Arabidopsis thaliana: one gene and its partners. The protein of the gene in region 1 interacts with the protein of each later gene in a pairwise test. Each region holds a gene or a part of one and is shown in the gene's direction. Other genes may lie near its edges. The genes, in order: AT1G33100, ELIP2 and FEI1.

Region 1 (8,781 bases):
CCGGTGGAATGGTTTGGTAAGGTTTCCTAAAAGCTTATGGAATCTAAAAGCTCTGCAAACAATATAAATATCAATTAGTGATACTTTTACACTGAGAATCTGATCCGACCGTTACAGTTACGCATATATATTATACACTGAATATTTTATTATAATTCATGTTACTTTTCTTTTGTTATATGTTTGATTTTTTCTTGTTAATTTACTTTACTTTTTTTAATTTATGATTATTACTTGGTGGTCGTTATTTTTTACAGCTTGGAGTTATGGTACAACTCGATATTAGTATTGCTCACTGGGAATTTGAAAAACGCAGAGGTGGCGATTGATGCACTAGCAATCTGGTAAATAAACAAGAATTGACCTTATATCTCTTCTGGTTTCCATACTACACATTTTCTTTATACTAACTCGACTCTTAAGTTAAAATATGGTATGAGTATAAATAGAGTAACATACAAATTATAATATTTTACAAATCGACTAATCTTTTCCATTTCTTTTTTGCAGCATCAACGTAAATGCACTGCAGATGATGATAGCACTTGGGTTTTTGGCAGCAGTAAGGTGCATTGATATATATACTATACACAGATACACTTCACTTCACTGATACTAATTATATCTTATCTTTTTTTTTCTTGGTATGATCTTAATATTATTTATATATCACTCTTCTATGTAATTATCTCTATATATAGTGTAAGAGTGTCCAACGAGCTCGGTAGGGGAAACCCCGAAGGCGCCAAATTTGCAACAATCGTAGCGGTTTTCACGTCACTCTCTATAGGATTAGTTCTATTCTTCGTCTTCTTGTTTCTAAGGGGAAGAATTTCGTACATTTTCACTACAAGTGAAGCTGTGGCAGCCGAAGTCGCTGATCTTTCTCCACTTTTAGCATTTTCCATCCTCTTGAACAGTGTTCAACCCGTTCTCTCAGGTATATACATTAGCTAGTTCAAGCGTGATGGTTATCATCGTATCGAATTCGAACTGATATTTGAAACGTAGTATATGCCTTTAATTGGTTTCAAACCTTATCAGGAGTGGCAGTGGGAGCGGGATGGCAAGGATATGTGGCTTACATTAACCTTGCTTGCTATTACCTTCTCGGAATTCCTGTTGGTCTTGTCCTTGGTTACGTTGTTGGTTTGCAAGTCAAAGTAAGTTTTTCTCTTTATATATTTTTTCTTCATAATGAACAAAAGTAATAAAATTAACAATTGAAAACAACATAAAACTTTACTTATCTTTTTTTGAAGGGTGTATGGATAGGAATGCTTTTTGGAATATTTGTTCAGACTTGTGTGCTTACCATCATGACTCTCAGAACAGATTGGGATCAACAGGTTTAAATAAACAAAATTGTAGTTTCCCCTTCCAAAATAATTAGTTTGTTCAAGCAAGCTATGTTATTGGTTTGGAGCTTAATTATATTGTTTGTTGCCACTTTTTTCTGTAGGTATCTACGTCGTTGAAAAATATAAACCGGTGGGTTGTACCAGAATCTAGAGATGCAAATCAAATTTCATCAGAGGAATAATTCGTTTGGATTATGATATGAACAAAGATATTATATAATTATGATGTTATTTTGGGCAATAGTTCTTTCTAACTCAGATTTTCAATATGAAATAAATTTTGATGGTAATTTATTAGGCTTTTTGTTGTTGTTGTTGTTGTTGTGGTACAATGAAAAAAGAGAGTACAATCTATATAATTTATTATAATCAAAGAAGAGGATAACTAAAATTTATTAATGAGCTATTTAAAAGATAAAATCCCTTTTAGTTCTTTAATTTCACCAACATGTTAACTCATAGTAAAATTAAACTTTGGTAGAATTTTGAGATATACTAGTTATTGAAATAGTGCGAATTAGGGTATGACCAATAAAAAGAAGAGAGTACCTTTGGAATTTTGGGGAAATTTGTGTGCTTACTACTATGATGACACTAAAAGAGATTAAAATAATCATGTTTTATAAACTGATTACCATTTAAAAAAAATGAAATTTCTTCGTTTATCATAGGAAAAGTACAAACATGTTTAAAGAAATTATATTGGTAATTATTTTTAAAAGATCTTCGTGGCTAAAACGTTAAATTGATTGATTCATTTTGACAAAGAAAAATAAACGTTTGATTCTGGAAATCCTCATAATAAATATATACGACAATCTTAATTCACTAAAAATTGTAATTGCTTACGTTGCTTAGAACAAGAATTTGACTATTGTAGTTTGATATGCTCGTTTCTTGATTTTTTTTTTATATTTTTATTTTTTTTAAATGGGTTTATTATGCAACACATAGACACGAGACTCACGACCAAGAAATATGTATATGAATAATTATATTTTTGATAAAAATATTTTGTTTTATTCCAATATACTTTCCAAACACACACTTTTTAAGCATATATAAAGATAAAGTTTAGATATGAATTATAGATAATTGCATTTAAACAAATGATCGATGAATGCACGATCTTAGGTGATCTTAAAATGCATCTATTTCTTAGAGTATTTTCATCACTTAGTCACTCACTGCTACAAAAGGCGTTGACGACCTTTTGTTTCCCAGCTGAAATATAAAAAAAATTGCTTCTTAAACTCAAACTCTCTGCTCTCTCTTTCTTCTATTTATTTCCTCCTATCAGATAAAAACACATAGACTCCACGATGGCCGGAAGAGGAGGAGAGCTCACGGAGGCTCTGGTGAAAAAGACCGGCAGAGAAGAAGAGGATGAGTTGGGGATGAAGGAGAAGGTTTGGATTGAATCAAAGAAACTGTGGGTTGTGGCGGCGCCAGCGATCTTCACAAGATACTCTACGTTCGGAGTTTCAATGGTAACTCAAGCTTTCATTGGCCATCTTGGCCCAACCGAGTTGGCCGCTTACTCTATCACCTTCACCATTCTCCTCCGTTTCAGTAATGGTATCTTGGTGAGTTTACTATAGCGATCTTGGTAATGGTATACGTAGCTTCATTTATATCAATTTTTCCAATTTTATTTAATCTAATGAATCCCTTGATTACTATGGATTCTTCTCCGCTTCAGTAATGGTATCGTGGTGGTGAGTACTACTTCAATTTTTATTTAATCTAATCTCTTGATTATTAGTGATTAAGAAATAACTATATTACAAGGTCAGACCATGTAGGTGAAAATTAAAAAAAAAAAACATGTAGGTGAATTTATGCTATAACTAAGTTGCATGGAAACGGAAACAGAAACGCGGATGCGAAACGTTTCAGAAACGGGAATCAATTTTTTATTAAAATTAGAGATTAGAAACGTTTTAAAAACATATAAATATATATATATATATACATAAAACTATATTAAATAAAAAATGATTTAAACAATATAAGTCTAAACTATCAATATTAAATAAGCTAACTAAAATTCTAAAAGATAAAGATTAAAATTTAAAAGATTCAAATTTTAATATCTAATTTAGACCAACATTTTTATTCTTATTTTCATTAGTTTCATCAAAGATAATATAAAACTCTCTTCAAATCTGGTTTATCAAGAAAAAAATCTTAAAACTAAGAGTTTTCCAAAATTAGTTATATGTATTAATAATCTTAATATTTCCAATTTTAGTTATTAAATTTTCAAAGTCAATAAAAAATATTTGTCGTATGTCTATTTCAAAAACGCGAGTTTTCATCGTGTTTCCAAACATGGATTTTTAGGAAACGCGTTTCCGTAATAATTTTTGCGTTTCCGAAACGTTTTCAAAATAAGTTAGACCAAAACTATATTATAAAATTTGGTCTCACTTATTTGAATTTTTAATACAGATTAGGTGGTCGTGTGAAGAAACTATTATCAAACTCAATTAAAATTTGTATAAGTTTATATGGTTTTGGAGTATTTTTTGGATATGTAATTCCGGTTAACATTTATTTTGAAACTACACAATGCAAAACTACAGCTGTCTCAAATTTGGTTATAACTATTGTTCTACTGCAGTTAGGTATGGCCGGTGCACTAGGAACATTATGTGGTCAAGCCTACGGAGCCAAACAATACCAGATGCTCGGGATCTACCTCCAAAGGTCATGGATCGTCCTCACAGGTGGTACCATTTGCCTCATGCCCGTCTTCATCTTTGCGGGCCCTATCCTCTTAGCTTTAGGTCAAGAGGAACGCATTGTTCGTGTGGCTCGGGTCTTAGCCCTATGGGTCATAGGCATCAACTTCTCCTTCGTGCCCTCCTTCACTTGCCAAATGTTTCTCCAAGCTCAGAGCAAGAACAAGATTATTTCCTACGTGACTGCTGTCTCCTTAGGGCTCCATGTCTTCTTCTCGTGGCTCCTAGTGGCTCATTTCAATTTTGGGATCACTGGTGCGATGACCTCTATGCTAATTGCGTTCTGGTTGCCTATCATTGTGCAGCTCTTGTATGTAACATGTGGTGGATGTAAGGATACATGGAGAGGATTCTCTATGTTGGCCTTCAAAGATTTGTGGCCCGTCTTAAAACTATCTTTGTCTTCCGGTGGAATGCTTTGGTAAGGTTTCCTATTTTTGTTTTGTGTTTTGAACACTTAATTAAGGAATTAGCTAGTAGTGGATCAACCAAATGTTTTCATACTGATAGCTTTAGTTTTCATTGTCATTGTTGGTCAAAACAAGAGATTGGTTCCACTTGATGCATATACTTAGTCCATGTATTAGTTTTCAGGCTGTAAACTATATAATATAATTATCAATCTTGTAGGATTTGATCCGACTGTTACATTTACGCATATACTCCTGAGAATGTTAGGAGTATATTATACACACTTTTAGGAGTATATTTTTTTTTTGGTGAATTACTTTTAGGAGTATATTATATTCACTGATAATTTAATGATAGTTCTAGTTACTTTTTTCTTTTGTTTTTTTTTTTCTTTCTAATTTACTTATCTTTTTAAAAATTGATGATGATTACTTTGTGGTCGTTATTTTTTACAGCTTGGAGTTATGGTACAACTCGGTATTGGTATTGCTCACTGGAAATTTGAAAAACGCAGAGGTGGCTCTTGATGCACTAGCAATCTGGTAAATAAACAAGAATTGACCTTCTATATCTATTCTGATCTCCATACAAAACATTGAAACATAAATACATTTTCTTTAGTACTAACTTGACTCATAAGTTATAGTATTGTATGAGTAATGGTACATACAAATAATATATTATAAATCGACTAATCTTTTCCATTTATCTTCGCAGCATCAGCATAAATGCACTGGAGATGATGATAGCACTTGGGTTTTTGGCAGCAGTAAGGTGCATTGATACATATATAGATTATATACAACACACTTCACTTTATTGATACTATTTCTATATTATCTTTTTTTCTTGGTATGATCTTTTATTTATATATCATCTTATTTGTAATTATCTATATAAATAGTGTAAGAGTGTCCAACGAGCTCGGTAGTGGAAACCCCAAAGGAGCCAAGTTTGCAACATTGATAGCGGTTTTCACGTCACTCTCTATAGGAATAGTTCTATTCTTCGTTTTTTTGTTTTTGAGGGGAAGAATTTCCTACATTTTCACTACAAGTGAAGCTGTCGCGGCCGAAGTTGCTGATCTTTCTCCACTTTTAGCATTTTCCATCCTCTTGAACAGTGTTCAACCTGTTCTCTCTGGTATATATTTTAGCTAGTTGACGCGTAATGGTTATTATAGTATCGGATTCGAACCAATATTTGGAGTAGTATTTATCTATAATTGGTTTAAAACCTTAACAGGAGTGGCAATCGGAGCGGGATGGCAAGGATATGTGGCTTACGTTAACCTTGCTTGCTATTACCTTGTCGGAATTCCTATTGGTGTTATCCTTGGTTATGTTGTTGGTTTGCAAGTGAAAGTAAGTTTTTCAGTTTATATATTTTTCTTTTATGTTGAAAAGTAATAAAACTAACATAAAACTTTACTTCTTTAATTTTGAAGGGTGTATGGATAGGAATGCTTTTTGGAATATTCGTTCAGACTTGTGTGCTCACCGTCATGACTCTCAGAACAGATTGGGATCAACAGGTCAGAAGTTGATTACTATATAATATTCCCTGAATTAATTTGTTTAAGAAAAAAAATTGTAGTTTCTCCTTCCAAAATAATAAGTTTGTTCCTTAGCAAAAATAATAATTAGTTTGTTCAAGCAAGCTATGTTCTTGGATTGCAGCTTATACTGTTTGTTGCCACTTTTTTGTAGGTATCTACGTCGTTGAGAAATATAAACCGGTGGGTTGTACCAGAATCTAGAGATGCAAATCAAATTTCATCAGAGGAATAATTAATTTGGATTATGATATGAAGATATGATAGATTTAAAGATTATGATGATGTTCCTTTTTTATGAAATGTGAAAAAAAAAATTGATAAAAAATAAAGGTTGTTTACAGAAGTTTTTAAGGAGCTTGTGAATTACACAAAAACAAGAGCATACAAAGAAAAAACAGACCTTCACGTTACGGTCCATTAAATCTTGAACTGAACCACCGTAGCAACAGCCCTCTTAGCTTCCAATTTTCGTAGTACCTCAAAGACATGATTTAGCTTAGAGATTTTTATCTGAATATAATCAGCTTAGTGTTGAATTTGAGTTATATATACTCTTTTTCTCTCGGTGTTCTATTGTATTATGTCATTATGTGTGTAGAACTAGAATCGTCTCCTTTGCCCGTAAACATAGCCAAAATATTGTTAGTACCAAGAAACGTAAATTTGGCCATGCATATATATATAATTTACTCCATTTGTTACTACAGTTTTTTGGATTTGTTTGGTGACTTTAAAAATGTTTTCATGTTCGTGACCTCATGATGATGATTGATCGATTGTGAAAAAAGGACAGCTTTTGTAAGGAAATACCGATCTAATACTACAGTGACGCGACTGCTTACGTAGACTTCTTTGCCTCCTCTTGTCGTAGCTTTGTTTTGTTTTTTTCCTTTAACAAATCCTTATTCACAACCACAAACCCCTTTGTTGTTCATATGATCATATAAAATAGAAATATGCATACATTTCTTTTTTATCTTTAAATGTCATTTGCAGATTTATATCTATTTTTTTCTACAATTATTTATTAAAATTTAAATGCCAAATTGGTATCAACCACTAATTTGGGTTTAAAAACAAATACATATCTTTGTTGGATCAGAAGAATAGTTGTGGTATTGAACCGTTGGATTGAACCAGAATGTAAAGATTAAACGAGACTTCACAAACAGAACAAATAATATTTGTTCGGGAGAATTCTCTAATCTATATAACAATATCTTAAATAATTTAATTTCTTAAGTCTTTCTACCAATTTTTTTTTTTACAACCATATTTCATTAAGAAAGTTCAAAGGACTACTACAGAGGGAAGCCCAATTACTACAATGAAAATACAACCTAAGTTTTAAGAAAACCTAGATGCTGACACGTGTTGAAGTCTTCTGCTTCATCAAGCCACGCATCAGTTGATCGAGCGCTGCCGTGTTTTTCTCGCCAAACATCACCGCCTTAGATCAGCCACCGTCGATCCGTCGTGGAGCGATGGGTGGTTGCCTCCTGTCTGACGATCTCGAACCCAAGCCGTAAACGCCGAGAACCTCCAGATCTATCATATGGTATGCTTCAAGAGTTCTCCGAGCAAATCCAACTCCTGGGAAGTTCCATCACAGACAACACCTTTACTGATGCAGTCGAAACATTGCTCCAAATTCACGAACAAAGAAAGATAATGAAGATATTACTCCTCGAGATGATTGGGAGGATCGGATGAACCTCGAGGGGCAGTTGGACAAGAGATTAGTCTCGCCGTCGCGAGAAAACAAAAACCGGACTACTCTAGTAGACTGACATCCGACTAGAAGTCGAAAACTTATTTAAATCTAATATAAATCTATATCTACTAAATCAACAGTCACTTTATCACAAACTGCAACATTCTCCTGTTTACACGTAAGCAAAGTCTTAATTTATTGAGTTTTGATTTTTCTGAAGCGTAAAACAATAATTCTTTTCTCATTAACATAAATTATTAAAGAGATTTAATCCATAATTTATTTCTTTCTTTCTCGCCATCTTCATCACTATCTTCCCCATTCCCCATATCTTGCAACAGTTATTGCTAATTTATGTTGTTTCATCTTCTATGCAATTTTCTAATTACGAATCTCAAATTTTTCACATTCGGATCAGTTATTTTCTTTTCCGCCTGCTTTACACCATGACGCCATGGCAGATTAACAATCCTTACATTTTTTTTGCTGCTTGCCATTCTCAAACCAAAATTCATCTCACTCTCCCTTCTCATTCGAGGTCAGTTATGGCTGAAGAAGAGGTCAACCACAACGACTGTATATTCAATTAAGGTATCAAATTTGTAAAATTTCTGAATTATTATAATTTTCAGTTTTCCATATATTGTTTTGGCTTTCAGTTTTAACATCATTTTCTTTATACTTTGTGAATTATTACAATTTTCATCTAATCACATCTCATTGTTGGCTATTAATGTTGTCAAGAGAAAGTGTTTGAGAATCTGACTTTAAGACGACATGGGTTTCGTTTTCAGGATCCCGTGTGAAACATTTTCAGAAAAATAAAACTCTTACACGATCATGAGTCATGACTAACCCAATGACATGCTAAGGTTATCAATTCTCAATTAGTTCTTCCTTTATTTTTTATTTAAAAAAATAGTTGATCTTATATTTTTAAACTCAAATATAGTGCTAGACAAATTGACTTTTTGATTTTGTGAAATCACA
Region 2 (6,066 bases), on another chromosome or scaffold:
CTACCCATCCTCATTCACTCATAGCGACAATTCAAAACAGATCTACTGGGGCTTTAAATAAGGGTAAGGCCTTGTTCCGAACTGGGCTTTAGTAAGATATTATAACATTTCTGTTCCAAATACAGTACATCAAAACTTGAATCTAACTTATATCAACTTCAATAATCATCAATTCATCAGTTAAAAAAACTCCTTCTTTCATGGTTTAGTTTATCAAAGATATGCATTTGATTTATAAGAAAACCCAAAGAGTATTTGTTACCTAGTCGTCCCCGGGTTTCACGGGGTTACAATAAGAGAAACAAAATGGGCCACATAATATTTATTTATTTAGTGATTCTGTCGTTTAAAAAAAAATTAGTTTAACACATTGTCAAAGTTTGAACTAAGGAACTTGTAACTCAAATACTGAAACTTTAACCATTAGACTACATTTTTATGCAAATTCGGCCAAAACTAAATAATAATATGATTAGCGGCCGCAAGCTTATGTTTTGCTTGCTTGGCCTTGTGGCCGGCTAAATAACCTAAGTATATAATCAATAAATTACATAAACGACCGGATAAATCAGAACTTAATTATAATGTTAAAAGTAATTAAATGAATGATGACCCTCGTCGTCTCTCCTCTTAAAACACAATAATCTCATAAATACAATTTTTATATGAAGTCTTCACAAACTACTATAAATTTCCCAAAGTTGTTCTCTCTCTTTGTCCACTCGAAGACTCATGGGGATAAGAAGGCACTCGTGTTATGGGCTTCGGGGCTTTTTATTGTTCGCCCTTTCGAGGACCTTCTCACATGTTTGGACTTTTGAGTCTAAATGCCTTATTTCCTCACGAATGACGTGAACATTTTTTCGTCCTGAACTCAAAAGTATCAATTACACACTTCACACTACTAATGGTCAAGTTTTTTCGTATTTGAAACTACAAATGTAAGTAATATATGCGATAAATTTATTATCCTCTGCTAGTAAAATCCATTAAAAAAAACTACCAATGTGGGTGTATGTTTTCTTTCAGTATATATAAAGAGTTTTCGCAGAGAGCACATATCGATGGTGGTACATCAAATCTGATCATTCATATCTAAATAATTGTTGTTGAGTTTTCTATATGTGTGGAACGTTAGATTGCTTAAGCTAGAAATTGACACAAGAGTTTGATCACCGAGTTCCTGCCTCCTGGCCTCTAACCGGTACGTCTCGGGTGGGAACTGTCTCCCACAACTTTTCACTATCAAGCAAAAAGTATTACAAGCACTAATAGAGGTTTCTCTTCTCCTTGTTACAAATTTAGAAATTAACTCACACACAAAAGACAATAGAAAAGGAGACTATACCGACACGAAGACTATGCCCATATCTTCACAATTGTGCTATTATTTACCGTTCTAATCTGGAAAAAAAAACAGCGCACGTAGGAGAATTGGGCACGAAGACATGAATGGGACACATAAAGGATCAAAAGAGTCATCATGGGTCTGCCATGATGAAAGTTAAGAAAGTTCCAATACGCGCGAAACAAGATTGAATGCGACTTCTCTCTATACCAAAAACGAATCTCCCAAGTCCCAAGTGAATATTGTGAGCCACTAACTTGTTATTAACATTTTGAGACAAAAAAAAAATTTGTACGTGTTTTTGCCAAACCCACTTGGCCATGACCAATCAGAAAAAGACAAGGAAGATGTGTATCTATGTGTAATGAGGAGGCCACGCCATCAGTTTACTTGCACTTTTCCAACTAGACGTGGCCTCTCACCGATCTCAACCTCACTTTCCTCTCATTTCTCAAATTTTATTGGCTACGTGTTTTTGTGTTTAGCGTTCAACCCAAATATCGATATATTCTTCTTTTTTTTTCACATTTTTAACGATTTCGAGCAAAATAATTCGATTTATTTGTATAATTTTAATATGGTAGTTTTACAAATAATGAAACGAATGACCAACTGATTTGTTAGGTGTTACAATAAATATGGAAAAAATCTCATAAGTTTGAAAACATTTATTCTGAGGAAACTTTTTCTTCCCCAAAAGAAAAAAAAAGTTTAAAGTGGAAAAAAGAAAAAAAAGGAATAAAAAGTTTGAATTCAGTTTTTTTCTTTTCTTTGATAGATTTCTTTCTACTTATTTATTACTCTACTACACACCACACAAAAACAAAAATAAAATAAGTAATCATAGTATCCCATAAATCAGTAAAGATAAATAAAATCCAGAAAATACTGGGCCTATCATTTTCCTTCACCAACTCTATAAATGAAGAGATAATCCTACAGTTACACCTCAAACCAACTCCATCTCACTTCTCAAGTCTTATAATTTATTCATTTCTCTCTTCTTCATCGATCTTCGGCTTTTAGAAAACCTAATCAGAAATGGCAACGGCGTCGTTTAACATGCAGTCAGTGTTCGCTGCTCCTTCCGGTGTATTGACTACACGCAACATCAGAAACACAAACCAACTCTTCTTCAAGAGGATTGCTCCGGTAGGAGTCAGATGCATGGCTCAGGTATATATACACTAACCTCATAGTCCTTCCACTTCCCTACGTTACTTATTTGACTTTTAATCCTGACCGTTCCTTACATTGACTATTTTTTTAGGGCGATCCTATCAAGGAAGATCCTTCTGTGCCCTCGACCTCGACTTCGGCCACTCCACCACAAATGCCACAGTCTCCTCCTCCACCAGTTAGCAAGCCTAAGGTATGATCTAATGATCAAAGTCATTAATATATATCACTAGCTAAAAAAATGAAGCTAATGAATAATTTTCTTATTGTCTAGGTGAGTACGAAGTTTGGAGATTTGCTAGCGTTTAGCGGTCCAGCACCCGAGAGGATCAACGGGAGACTAGCAATGGTTGGATTCGTGGCGGCCATCGCCATGGAGTTATCAAAGGGAGAAAACGTGTTTGCTCAGATCTCTGACGGTGGTGTCGGGTGGTTTCTAGGAACAACAGCGTTGTTGACGTTGGCATCGATGGTTCCGTTGTTCAAGGGAATAAGGGCAGAGGCAAAGTCAAAAGGGTTCATGACTTCAGACGCCGAGCTATGGAACGGTCGGTTTGCGATGCTCGGTCTCGTTGCGTTGGCCTTCACCGAGTACGTCACTGGTGGGACTCTAGTCTAAAGCTAAAGCTTTTTGTTTGCTAGTTTAAGGACAAATTTGGAGAATGATTATGTAACGCATAGATTGATTTAATACTATGAGTTTTAAACAGTGTGTCAACATGAATCAAAATTTAAAACCATGAAAAAAACATTATAAAAATTTATTTGAAAAAGTACTTCAAAAGTTTTCTTATAAGATAATGTGAATGGAGAAGAAGAAGTAAAAAATAAATTTTAGCTTCTATCCAAGGTTTGAGAGTTTATGCATTCTTTTGAAATGAATCAAGAGCCAAGAATAATTAATTATGCTCTTCCTTGTTATTATCGACCAATAGAGTCATCATGTGTCTGCCATAATGAAAGTAAAGCAAGTTCCAAGACGAAACGAAATTGAATGCGATTTCTCTCTAACAAATCACCTCATCTCAATTCTCAAGCCCATGGGTTAGTCTCATCAAAGCCCAATCAAAGCGTCAATGCTTCCCAAGAACAAAAAAAAATATATTAAGATGAACAAACAAAAAAACACTTAAAAGAGGAAAGATCTGGCCACTACAACACTACACGATAGTACGATCGATGAATATAATCGGAAAGATTTGAGTGGCTCAATTACATATTGCTTATACGACGTCGTTTTGAGTAGCATCATTTCGTTAATATTTATGTAGGAGACTGAAACAAGACAGAGAAAAGAGAATCTCCGAGGAAAACAAAAGTTGATGGCGACGTCTAAGCTTCAAGCTCTCTGGAATCACCCGGCAGGACCAAAGACAAGTGAGTTATCACATTGTTTCATCAATAATATATTACTCTTTCTTCTTCCGTTTCAATTAAGACTCTATTGAAACGTTACTATTGGAAAATGTTGAATTGTTTATAGTACAGTTCTTGACAAAAAAAAATCTATATCACTTTAAATCCTCTAATGAATAATATATTCTAATTGTAAACAGTTTCTCTCTTTTTTTGTTGTTGTTGTTGTTGGGTATTAATCAGTTCATTTCTGGGCTCCAACATTTAAGTGGGGTATAAGCATTGCTAACATTGCAGATTTCCAGAAACCTCCAGAAAATATTTCGTACCTTCAGCAAATTGGTAAATAACTACTACTCTTCAGAAATCTCTAATCTTTCTTGTTACAATTATTGTTATAAACATATTATCCATAATTATTGTATTAGCTGTGACATGCACTGGAATGATTTGGTGTCGTTGCAGCACTATAATTACTCCTGTAAGTTTTGTTTGCTTTTCGAGTTTTACTTTTGTGATTGGATTCTTGGTTTTGGTTTATCGATCTGATTCTTTGGACTTTTGTTTTTTTTTAACAGAAAAACTGGAACCTGTTTAGTGTTAATGTTGCTATGGCAGCTACAGGGATATACCAACTTACTCGCAAAATAAAGTGAGAATCAAACCCACTTTTTTGTTTTGCTTGTGTTTTAACATAGATAACAAATTCATCAGCTTACTATATAAAACATTTCTTTTGCTAAGTTAAACGCAATCAGAAAGGTTTGGTTTGGCGTTTACAATCAGCAAAGGAAATTTTGCTTAATATGTAATGCAAACAAAGAGTCGAAGCTATTTTAAACTCGATTTTTATGATGATTGTCTATGATAGTATGATTTTATCTTTTGATACATCAATGAAATGCTTATTAACTTTTTTTTTGATATTAGGTATGATTATGTATCTGAAGCAGAGGCTGCTGTTGAAATTGAAGGATGATGATGATGAAAAAGATGAAACATTTGACATGTGAAAATGTTCGTTCATTAGTACTGTCTTGTTAATGGACCTCTAGTAGCATATGCCAATGTTTGGATTTTTGTTAGATAGTGAATGGTACGTTACATGCTTGCTAAAGATTTTTATATTATTTGGGACAAGATTGATAGTTGAGTTTATGTAAGATTAATCAGTAATTAGATCAAAATAATAACTCTATATCTCTTAAAAATATGTTACCTCTTTATCAATGACTAGATGAGTACCCGCACTACGTGCGGGTTTACGTATTATTTACAAATTATTTTATATAATGTTTGTTCATATAAAGTAAAATTGAATGCATAGGTTTTGAAACATAAATATGATTTGTAATTGTTTTTGAAAAGCCCAACTATATTAGTTCATCTGAAAAACGAATGTGATTGAATTGTTTTTATTGTTGTTTTAGATTCTCAGTTTTTTTTTTGAATTTATATATCCTTGCTTTTTCAGTTATATGTATAGATTGTGAGACGGTGAAATTTTAGAAAATTTATTTCTTACACTAAAAATATAACATGTCTTTATTAATCATATCTCTGCATATTCAATCTAAGCATATTCAACTTGATGTTCTTGGAAAGTTTAGTTAAGTTCTTGTCATAATCTTATATCTTACGTATTAGTTATAAGGATAGCTCCTCAAATATCTTTCAAATTACTTGTTTTCTTAGCATAGATCTCGAAAAGCTTAGATATATTTAATCTGCATATTCATTTAGTTTCTTTCATAATAATCGTCTAATTTTTAGGCTAGGAATATGTGTAACATGTTTGGATTTTATCATCACTTTAGCCACTTAAGTGGATCTCAAAATTAAAGAGGATATATTGAATTAAAAAAATGTAAAAAGAGTGATGTTTCAAGTTCTCATTAATTATATTCTCATATTTTAGTTGTTATGTTGAATTAATTACTAATTATGTATTACTTATTTTATGAAGTATAGGTGGCAAGCTCTCATGTGCTGATGTGTCAAGTTGTGGGAGAGAGTTAGTCTTCTTTCATATATATGATTCAATGTATATTAAAATCTCAAAGAAACTAAATATTTCAGTCATTAGTCAATAGTAAAATTATAATCTTCAAATCAAATTCAATGAATATTTTTCTCTTTGTTTCTGTTTTAAATACAAACCAACATTTTTTTTTTTTTAACAC
Region 3 (9,245 bases), 750 kb from region 1:
GAGGATGAAGAGAGACTAAATCCTAGAACCGAGTGTCACACTACCATACTTGATAGAGAAAATTATCACACAACAACTTTTATAAGTAAACAGAATCGAGAAAACGCAGAGTCACTCACTTTAAAAGCATATAATACGTGTTTGAATGTGACTCGCGTTGATTACGAAAACTTGAGGAATGTGAAAACGCTTCGGCTCTTCATAGCTCATTGTTGGGCTGATAGTCCCAAGAAAAAGAACATTTAACTTTCCCTTGTTCATTTTCAAAACAAAGCATTCATTAACACCGTTTTACATGATATTTACCTCTTAGATGGCCAATAAATTAAATAATGTTAGGTTATATTAGGCGTTTTGTGTAGTTTAATTTAATTTATACACTTGTTTTGGCATCTATAGTGTTTGAACTAACGACTAACTAGTAACATGAGCAAAGGCGATCAGCCTCTGGCTCTTCATGACATGATACTCTGTTATAAGGAGATAGAAAACCCCTTATGTTAACCAACATGAAGTTGCTCTATGTAATCATACAAATGATTCCATTTCCACTTTTGTCCGTCTCTCAAATGTTCTTATTCATCTCGGAGTCAAGCTTTGCCCTAAATCCTCGAACCTTAATTGAAACAATGTCCTTTAGTTTCTCCACAAGGCCAGGTCTTTGGCTTTGCTTCCTTACAGTTTCAATCAGAAGCCGATATTCCGATAGCGTAGCCTCTGGTAAAGGTTCCAAGAACTCACACTTAGACAAGATCTCCGGAGGAGGAACACCTGTGACCAGGTTTGTGTCCAGTTTTGTTCTGTCTTTCTTTGTTTTTTCGGGTTCTGTAACCAGAGGACCATCAAGAGCTGAAGGAGATGCACCAGGAATTACTTCCCGTGTGAATGGTAACGATCTTGCAGGTTGCAAGCAGAATTCTATCCACTGGTTGATTAATGGAGATGGGCCTCGGACTCGTCCTCCTCTTTGTTCTGCTTCTTTACCAGAGTCAGAAACAGCCGGGATCGCCTTGAAAAACAATTATGCTTCACGGTTTAGTGTCCAGATATGTTATATCGTCTTTAGAACAAGAAGCATTCAAGATATCAGATGAAGGGTTAAGTGATTTTACGACGGTAACTTACCCATAGATCAGCCCATAAGGTGGCACCGGATTTGGGAACAATCACTGTAACATTAGACATACGTTTTGCGACAGGGATAACATCGCTGCTCCAACCAACAGTGACCCAGACATCTCCGACATTGAAAGCTTTTAAATAGTTGTTACTATCAAATAGTCTAATCTATAAGCAAAAGGGGAAACAAGATCAGCCACCATTGTCATTTTTTCTCAATAACTATAGAGGTTGAGTGAAACACGTCAGCCTAAACTCATCTGTTCTCTTTAGGGTATGGAGAGATAGTAAAGAGGTAATAACCTGTTTCATGAGTGATGCCAGATTTTTCTCCACTGCTAATCTTCCGCCAGGAACTTGTGAATCCAGGTCTGTCGTATTGTATGATGCTCTCATGTATTTGAGAACAGCACCAACAACCTCTCTAGGAGAATTCACCATTGCGATCCTTCCTGCAAGCTCGGGTCGCCACAGATCAGCCCAGTCCTAAATTCAGCAAAATGTTCAGTGATATTCACTTCTTTTAAATAGGAAAACACTAAGACAGCATTTAGCAACAACAAAGTATACCAACCTCTATCGGTGCCAATTTATAATTCTGAAATTTGCTCTTTTTGTATGCTATAACCATGGTGCCCCAGCGGTATGGCACAGCCCACGTTTCACCGTCAGGAGCTTTTTCTCCCGCATAGTTCCTGCGGAGATAAATCTGAGACTTTCTAAGTCATGAAATGAACCCTATGAACATTCCCAAGCTAGCAGAGTACGAAAACAAAACACATGAAAGATTATGCCTATTAAAATCTCTCAAGCTAGTGTTCTTTCAAAAAGACTCATATTCATATTGTTAAACCACTGATTTAAATTCTCACCTTCCATTTATCACTCAAGCCTTTATACCAGTCTTGATCTTCTATCCCTTTCATTGGCTCAATTAGCTTTTCCTTAATAGCAAAACTAAGCCAAGAATCACCAATGCTGATCATATCAGCTGCTGCAGTTGAAGCAGCCCCCTTTTTTCCATTCTTACTTGGTTTCGATAGATCGAAAAAGATCTCTTCAAGATTTCCTCGAAACTGAGTCTTTAACCTCACTCTCTTCCCTTGTGAGCTCATAAACTCCTAAATTCCATTCACAGAATCCAACAACATACATTTTCAACTATAAGCTTAAGATTCAAAATAGAAATGGAAACACAGACAAGTGAAACTAAAACCTTGATCCATGATGGTGGCACTGAGCCACGCAAGGCAACGAGTTTTAGCGGGACAGTAAGAGAATACACTTTAGACTTGTACGCTTCGAAATCAGCTTCCAGTTTTTCTTCATCTTCAACTTCATTTAGATTCTCTTCACCTGCAAAAACATTCCATTGGAACACAAAATTCAAATCCATCGAAATCCCAAGAGTGACGAAAATGTTCAATTTCACGCACCAGCTACAGTTTCTGTGTTGATTTCATTCTCTGTAACGACAATCGGCGGTGGTAGTATTCGAGCGGAGGCCGGAGAACAGACGCGGAGGCTACTTAAACCGATGAACAACACGGTCGAGGCAGAGAGACCAACGATCCTCTCATGAAACCGTTCGTCTCGAGAAACTCGTGCAATGGTGATTCCCCTTCCTCCGTCGCGTCGGTTTCCTCCGCAGTAGAAGCTCGCCGGCGGTTTCACGGAAATAATCGCCGCCGTAGCCATCGATATAACGCGATGGTGAAACAACGGACAACAATGGCTTCTAATCTCAAACCGGTTCAATCAAACCGCTGGGCTTATACCGTAATGGGCCTTAAAAATGGGCCCAATGATTTCGACCATTGTAGAGATTAGGCTTAGCTAAGGTCTAGCTGGCAATAATAATTGGGTTTTATGAAGAAAGCGTCGGTTGACACGTGTGGGAGGTCAAGATCGGCACGTGCGAGACCCACTTCGTTTCTTCTCATTGGTCGTATGCTTTGGAGAAGAAAGCATCTTCTTCTTCTTCACACACTCTCTCTCTCTCACTCTAGTTTTCTCTCTCTTCACTCTTACCATAAATCACACAAACAAAATAAAAAGTCGATTCCTTTTTTGTTTTTTTTATCTTCTCCTTAAGTTATATTTTTTTTTTTTTGCTTTACAGCTCAAATTAGTCATCTTCTTCTTCCTCTGTCTCAATTCTTCCTCCTCTCGGATCCATTTTTAGAGGTTCTTATAATTCTTACTAATTCTGTTTGCTTTTAAAGCTATAACCTTTGATATTGTTGGAAAGAGTGGGGTTTTGGGTCTTTTGCTGAATCGTTTTTTGGATTTGTTATATTGTTCGAATCTTCAGTTGTTATTGTGTTATAGGATTGGATGGTATCTGGGAATTTCGTAATCTATGTTAAGCTAGAGCTGTTTTTGAGCTCTTTTGTTGATGATGATTTTGAGATTGTTGGCCGAATTTAGCTCTCGTTTTCTGATTTTAGCAATTGGAAAGTGTGTATTGGTTCTTGTGAGGCAATTTCACTGTTTTGAGTACTCAAAATGTAGATGAGAGCATGCATAAGTTGTGTGGAGACTGAGCTTAATGTGTAGTGTAATTGACAATTAGTTTTGTGGGCTTTCCTTTGTTTTTCAGGAGTCTAGTTTCTTACTTGAACATAGACATGGAATCAACTAATAACTGACAACCAAGAGGCTGTTCTTTTCAAATGATTGGTAGTAGTTATATTATGCTTGGACAGTGCCATGATGGGCATCTGTGAGATGAAAAGCTGCTGCTCATGGCTTCTTTTGATCTCGTTGCTTTGCTCACTATCTAATGAAAGTCAAGCGATTAGTCCTGACGGTACGTCGATATGAATCAACTATTACTATTCATAGCGTCCTGGACCTTTTATTGAGCTTTAATCCTTTATTGCTTGTTTCCATTCTTCAGGCGAGGCGCTTCTGAGCTTCAGAAATGCAGTTACTAGATCAGATAGTTTCATCCATCAGTGGAGACCGGAAGATCCAGATCCATGTAACTGGAACGGAGTGACATGTGATGCAAAAACGAAAAGAGTTATAACCTTGTAAGTTTTCAAACTTGTCAAGGTTTACTGGTTTTCTCTTCAGTATTTGTGCTCCCTAATACTCTTGTTTCGCAGGAATCTTACTTATCACAAAATAATGGGACCTTTACCTCCTGATATTGGAAAGTTGGACCATTTAAGGCTTTTGTATGTGCTCTCTAGCCTTATTCATTTTTATTGCTTAAGAGAGTACTTCGATTCTGATCATCTGTGTGTCATTGCAGAATGCTTCACAACAATGCTTTATATGGAGCAATACCTACAGCATTGGGAAATTGCACAGCATTGGAGGAAATGTAAGCGCTTTTCCAGGATTTTATACTGATTCCACATGGTTTCTGAGAGACCAATTCCAGTTGCTTATGGTCATCAAAATTGTCCAACTGGTTTTGCAGTCACTTGCAGAGTAACTACTTCACTGGACCAATCCCAGCTGAAATGGGAGACCTGCCTGGCCTTCAAAAGCTGTATGTTTTTTTCTCTTCCCTATACGTACTTGCAAGTGCATCCTTCTTTTAGTGTATGCAATATCTATTTGTTTTTTGTTTTCATTTACTTCTATCACCATCTAGGATCATGGTAACATATGGTTGACTGCATAATGTCTTCTCATGCACATTATATTCAGAACTAGTTATACCTAAACTCTTGGTGAGCAATTTGAAAAGCATGATAATGTATTGTTTACTTCAGATTCACATATTGATTGTTCTCTTTTCTCTACTAAAACTGACTTTTGACTTTTTTATTTTATTTTCAAGGGACATGTCAAGCAACACTCTCAGTGGACCTATCCCTGCTTCGCTTGGGCAGTTAAAAAAGCTTAGTAACTTGTGAGCACCTTAATCTCTAACTTCCGCTGTAATTTATCATATTGCAGTCCTGTGAATCTTTCTGTTTCGTTTGTCTTATGAAGCAATGTCTCGAACAACTTCCTGGTGGGGCAAATACCTTCAGACGGAGTGCTCTCTGGATTTTCTAAGAACTCGTAAGACAATAAACACCCTTTTCTTCTTGTAGGGATAGAAAAATAAAGCCTCTAAAGTTACATTTTTTTTTTTTTTTTGTCAATCCTCTAAAGTTACATTTATACAGCTGATCTTTCATATTTCGCTTATATTCGAGATGATTTTTTGAACCACATAACTATTTAGCTAGATTGTATCAGTGCGACTGAAATTATATGATTCTCAAACTGATGCGTTACTACTACAGCTTCATTGGAAATCTTAACTTGTGTGGAAAGCATGTTGATGTCGTGTGCCAAGATGATAGTGGAAACCCTTCATCACATTCTCAATCAGGTAAAAGCAATTATGAATTTCTTGTGATATACAGGTTTTGTTGTGGCTCTCTATCAGTAAAGTTATATTTATTTGGTGTCTTATACTTTATAGGTCAAAATCAAAAGAAAAACTCTGGTAAGCTGCTGATTAGCGCATCAGCAACTGTAGGTGCGCTACTCCTAGTTGCACTCATGTGTTTCTGGGGATGCTTTCTATATAAAAAGCTCGGTAAAGTCGAGATTAAAAGCCTTGCAAAGGATGTTGGTGGAGGTGAGCCGTATTGATTTTTTTTGTACAGATATTATCTCGTTAAATATTGGGAAATTTCATATTTTTCTCTATCTCCTAAATCTTCATTGTGACTTTTTCAATTCAGGTGCGTCTATTGTGATGTTCCACGGAGATTTACCTTACTCTTCCAAAGATATCATTAAGAAGCTGGAAATGTTGAATGAAGAGCACATAATTGGATGTGGAGGCTTTGGAACGGTGTATAAGCTGGCCATGGATGATGGCAAAGTCTTTGCATTGAAGAGAATTCTAAAGTTAAACGAAGGGTTTGATCGGTTTTTTGAGCGGGAGCTTGAGATTCTTGGGAGCATCAAACACCGATACCTCGTGAATCTACGTGGATATTGCAATTCACCAACATCAAAGCTACTGTTATATGATTACTTGCCCGGTGGTAGCCTTGATGAAGCACTTCATGGTATGATCAATCTGCTCTTTATGGCTCTCTTCCATATTATGAATGATTCACTGAGAAGTTTGGTTCTTGAATTAGTAGAGAGAGGCGAGCAATTGGACTGGGATTCACGCGTAAATATCATCATAGGAGCTGCGAAAGGGTTATCATATTTGCATCATGATTGTTCTCCTCGGATTATACATCGTGATATAAAGTCGAGCAACATTTTGCTTGATGGCAATCTCGAGGCACGGGTATCGGATTTTGGTCTAGCCAAGTTGTTGGAAGACGAAGAATCTCATATCACAACCATTGTTGCAGGCACATTTGGGTACCTAGCTCCAGGTACATATGCCTTTTAAAAGTCTTTACTTACATAAAGATTTGATCTTTCAAATGCTGAGACTTTTCCATTTGACAGAATATATGCAAAGTGGTAGAGCAACTGAGAAAACCGATGTATACAGTTTTGGGGTTTTGGTTCTTGAAGTCTTGAGTGGGAAAAGACCAACCGATGCTTCCTTCATCGAGAAAGGCCTTAACGTTGTTGGTTGGGTATGCAAATAAGATTCTTTTTCAATACTGATATTTTGTTACGACAAACTTGACTAAAAAAGCTTTTGACTCATGATTTACAGCTAAAGTTCTTAATCAGCGAAAAACGGCCAAGGGATATTGTTGATCCAAACTGTGAAGGAATGCAGATGGAGAGCCTTGACGCTCTACTATCAATAGCAACACAGTGTGTGTCTCCGAGTCCAGAAGAGCGTCCAACGATGCATCGGGTTGTCCAGTTACTTGAATCAGAGGTCATGACTCCTTGTCCCAGCGAATTTTATGATTCCAGCTCTGATTAATTGCATAAACCCACCAGTCGAAACCTCGAGAAAAAAAGTAAACCGAGTCCGGTTTCCCGGGGAAAGCCTTCAAATGCTATTCGATTTCCGTTTTTGCTCCCCGAGAAAACCTGCAAATACCAACGAAGAGCCATAATTTTCCAGTTAATGGAACAGAGTCTTTGTGTTGTGTTGCCATTTACTTTGCCCCTCCAGTTTTACCAGATTCGAGCCATTCATTTTCAGCCCTTTCTCTTTTTGTTCTGATTTTTGGTATAAAAACTTTTATTTGAACATGAAATTGAATTGTATAGTTGTGACCTTTGTAGAAAAACTACTCTCTGCCTTTATGTTCTTTTGAAATAATCCATGTTCCTTCATCTTCTTCTTCTTCAGTCTCAATCAATCCTGATTCAGTTACAGAGAAGCTGATATCGATTCAAAACCAACATCGATTCAAAACCGGTTCATTAGCAGGGAAACAAATGTTAATGATAAGGGAAGTAGTTAGAGAATGTACAAGAAAGTTTCAGCTATCAATTTCTTTATGTTCCAAATCCAACATCAAATTTGTCGTTTGATGCAGCATTGAGTTGATCTCATCCATTTTTGGGTGTGATAATAGATCATCTCCAACAATAAACTCATGACCAACCCCATCAATCTCGATGGAGCTGCAACCAGGAAACTTTCTGATTCCCAAATCTTTCATTTTCCTTCTCACATTAGTTACATCTTCCCATCTATTAGCAGATGCATATACACTTGCAAGCAGAGTATGAGCACTGGAATCACTTACTTCCACTTTCTCAAGCTTTTCCGCTACCCGTTCTGCTATTTTTACATTCCCATAGTTCCTAGCAGCACTAAGTAAAGAACAGTATACAGGAACTAGAGTTTCATCGCTTTCACCACGCATCTTATCTATCAATTCCTCTGCTTCATCTAACAAACCAGCTCTGCATAGTAGGTCAATCAGACAGCTGCAGTGCTCTGATTTAGGCTGGACGTTATGTCTTTCGGTCATCGAATGGAAAATCTTACGGCCTTCTGCTACAAATCCACCATGATTGCAAGCTGTTAAAACCGCGACAAATGTTATAGCGTCTAGTCTAACACCAACATTTTCCATTTCGTAATACAAGTCCAGCGCTCTTCCTGACATCCCGTTCATCGCAAGACCGTAGATAAGTGATGTCCACGAAGCTGTGTCTCTCTCCTTTATTTCATAGAAAACCTCTAGAGCTGTCTCAATGCATCCACATTTTGCATACATGTCTACAAGAGCAGTACCAACTACTTTATCTACTGTAACCCTGTTCTCATTTATGTACCCATGAATCCATTTTCCTTGCTCTAAAGCTCCCGTTTGCGCGCAACCTGTCAAGAGAGAGACTAGCACGAAATTATCCGGCCTAATTCCCGCAGTTTGCATGCACCTGAACAGTTCCAATGCCTCATCAAACCGGTTAAACTGAACATACCCATTCATCATAGCTGTCCACAAAACAACATCCTTTACAGGACTTCTCTCAAACAAAACTCTAGCCTCATCAATCCTACCAGTACTAACATACCCAAAAACCATACTAGTCCAACACTTAACATTCTTGTCTCTCATCGAATCGAAAACCGCTCTAGCCTTATCGAGACACCCACATTTACAGAACATATCCACCAACGCATTCCCAATCCTAACACTCATTTCAAATTCTGTAACAACAAACCTATAAATCCTTTCACCAATTTCAAGATTCTTCAAAGCCGAACAAGCCGAAAGAGTGCTCACAATTGTACCTTCATCAAACTTCAAATTGCTCTCCTGACTCATCCGCTTAAACACACCAATGGCATCCTCAAACCTCCCATTACCAACATAACTAGAAATCAACCCATTCCAAGAAACAACATCTCGTTGAGGCATTTCATCGAACACTTTATGTGTGATCTCTATCTTACCCAATGAAGCATACATTCCCATGAGTGAATTAGATACATAAGAATCGAACTCAAGCCCAGCTTTCACAGCATAACCATGAACCTTCTCACCTTCTATAACCTTCCTCAAACGACCAATTGACTTTAGAACAACCGGTAACGTGAAATTATCAGGATACAATCCTTGTCCTCGCAATTCACCGAACAAAGCCAAAACTTTCGTGAAACTTTTACCATCAGCAAGAGATTTGAGCATCTTATTGTACATAAGAAGTGATGGAGTTTGTAACAAACTCATGTTCATGTCTCTTTAGGGGATGATATGAGATAATGAGAATGT

The links.
Region 2: the proteins of AT1G33100 (region 1) and ELIP2 interact in a protein complementation assay, tested with the Arabidopsis thaliana proteins (one large-scale study listed by BioGRID).
Region 3: the proteins of AT1G33100 (region 1) and FEI1 interact in a protein complementation assay, tested with the Arabidopsis thaliana proteins (one large-scale study listed by BioGRID).

Annotation. Positions count from the first base shown.
Region 1 is NC_003070.9:11,995,000-12,003,780, forward strand, and holds AT1G33100 (MATE efflux family protein), read left to right. Parts: upstream 1-2,500; 5' UTR 2,501-2,683; coding exon 2,684-2,947; intron 2,948-3,987; coding exon 3,988-4,529; intron 4,530-4,974; coding exon 4,975-5,061; intron 5,062-5,236; coding exon 5,237-5,293; intron 5,294-5,423; coding exon 5,424-5,662; intron 5,663-5,764; coding exon 5,765-5,883; intron 5,884-5,966; coding exon 5,967-6,053; intron 6,054-6,228; coding exon 6,229-6,309; 3' UTR 6,310-6,422; downstream 6,423-8,781. Other genes in the region: AT1G33090 (MATE efflux family protein), read left to right, coding at 1-16, 258-344, 511-567, 702-940, 1,045-1,163, 1,263-1,349, 1,463-1,543; AT1G33102 (uncharacterized protein), read right to left, coding at 7,534-7,632.
Region 2 is NC_003075.7:8,415,984-8,422,049, forward strand, and holds ELIP2 (Chlorophyll A-B binding family protein), read left to right. Parts: upstream 1-2,258; 5' UTR 2,259-2,389; coding exon 2,390-2,524; intron 2,525-2,618; coding exon 2,619-2,720; intron 2,721-2,801; coding exon 2,802-3,146; 3' UTR 3,147-3,342; downstream 3,343-6,066. Other genes in the region: AT4G14695 (Uncharacterized protein family (UPF0041)), read left to right, coding at 3,850-3,904, 4,127-4,225, 4,312-4,364, 4,462-4,535, 4,814-4,862. UniProt on the Arabidopsis thaliana protein: Probably involved in the integration of pigments into the mature light-harvesting pigment-protein complexes.
Region 3 is NC_003070.9:11,246,529-11,255,773, forward strand, and holds FEI1 (Leucine-rich repeat protein kinase family protein), read left to right. Parts: upstream 1-3,089; 5' UTR 3,090-3,831; coding exon 3,832-3,931; intron 3,932-4,021; coding exon 4,022-4,157; intron 4,158-4,232; coding exon 4,233-4,304; intron 4,305-4,381; coding exon 4,382-4,453; intron 4,454-4,552; coding exon 4,553-4,624; intron 4,625-4,918; coding exon 4,919-4,990; intron 4,991-5,073; coding exon 5,074-5,145; intron 5,146-5,372; coding exon 5,373-5,461; intron 5,462-5,554; coding exon 5,555-5,713; intron 5,714-5,819; coding exon 5,820-6,152; intron 6,153-6,227; coding exon 6,228-6,476; intron 6,477-6,552; coding exon 6,553-6,686; intron 6,687-6,769; coding exon 6,770-6,988; 3' UTR 6,989-7,387; downstream 7,388-9,245. Other genes in the region: AT1G31410 (putrescine-binding periplasmic protein-like protein), read right to left, coding at 566-1,009, 1,126-1,287, 1,423-1,605, 1,694-1,828, 1,992-2,240, 2,336-2,475, 2,556-2,817; AT1G31430 (Pentatricopeptide repeat (PPR-like) superfamily protein), read right to left, coding at 7,497-9,209.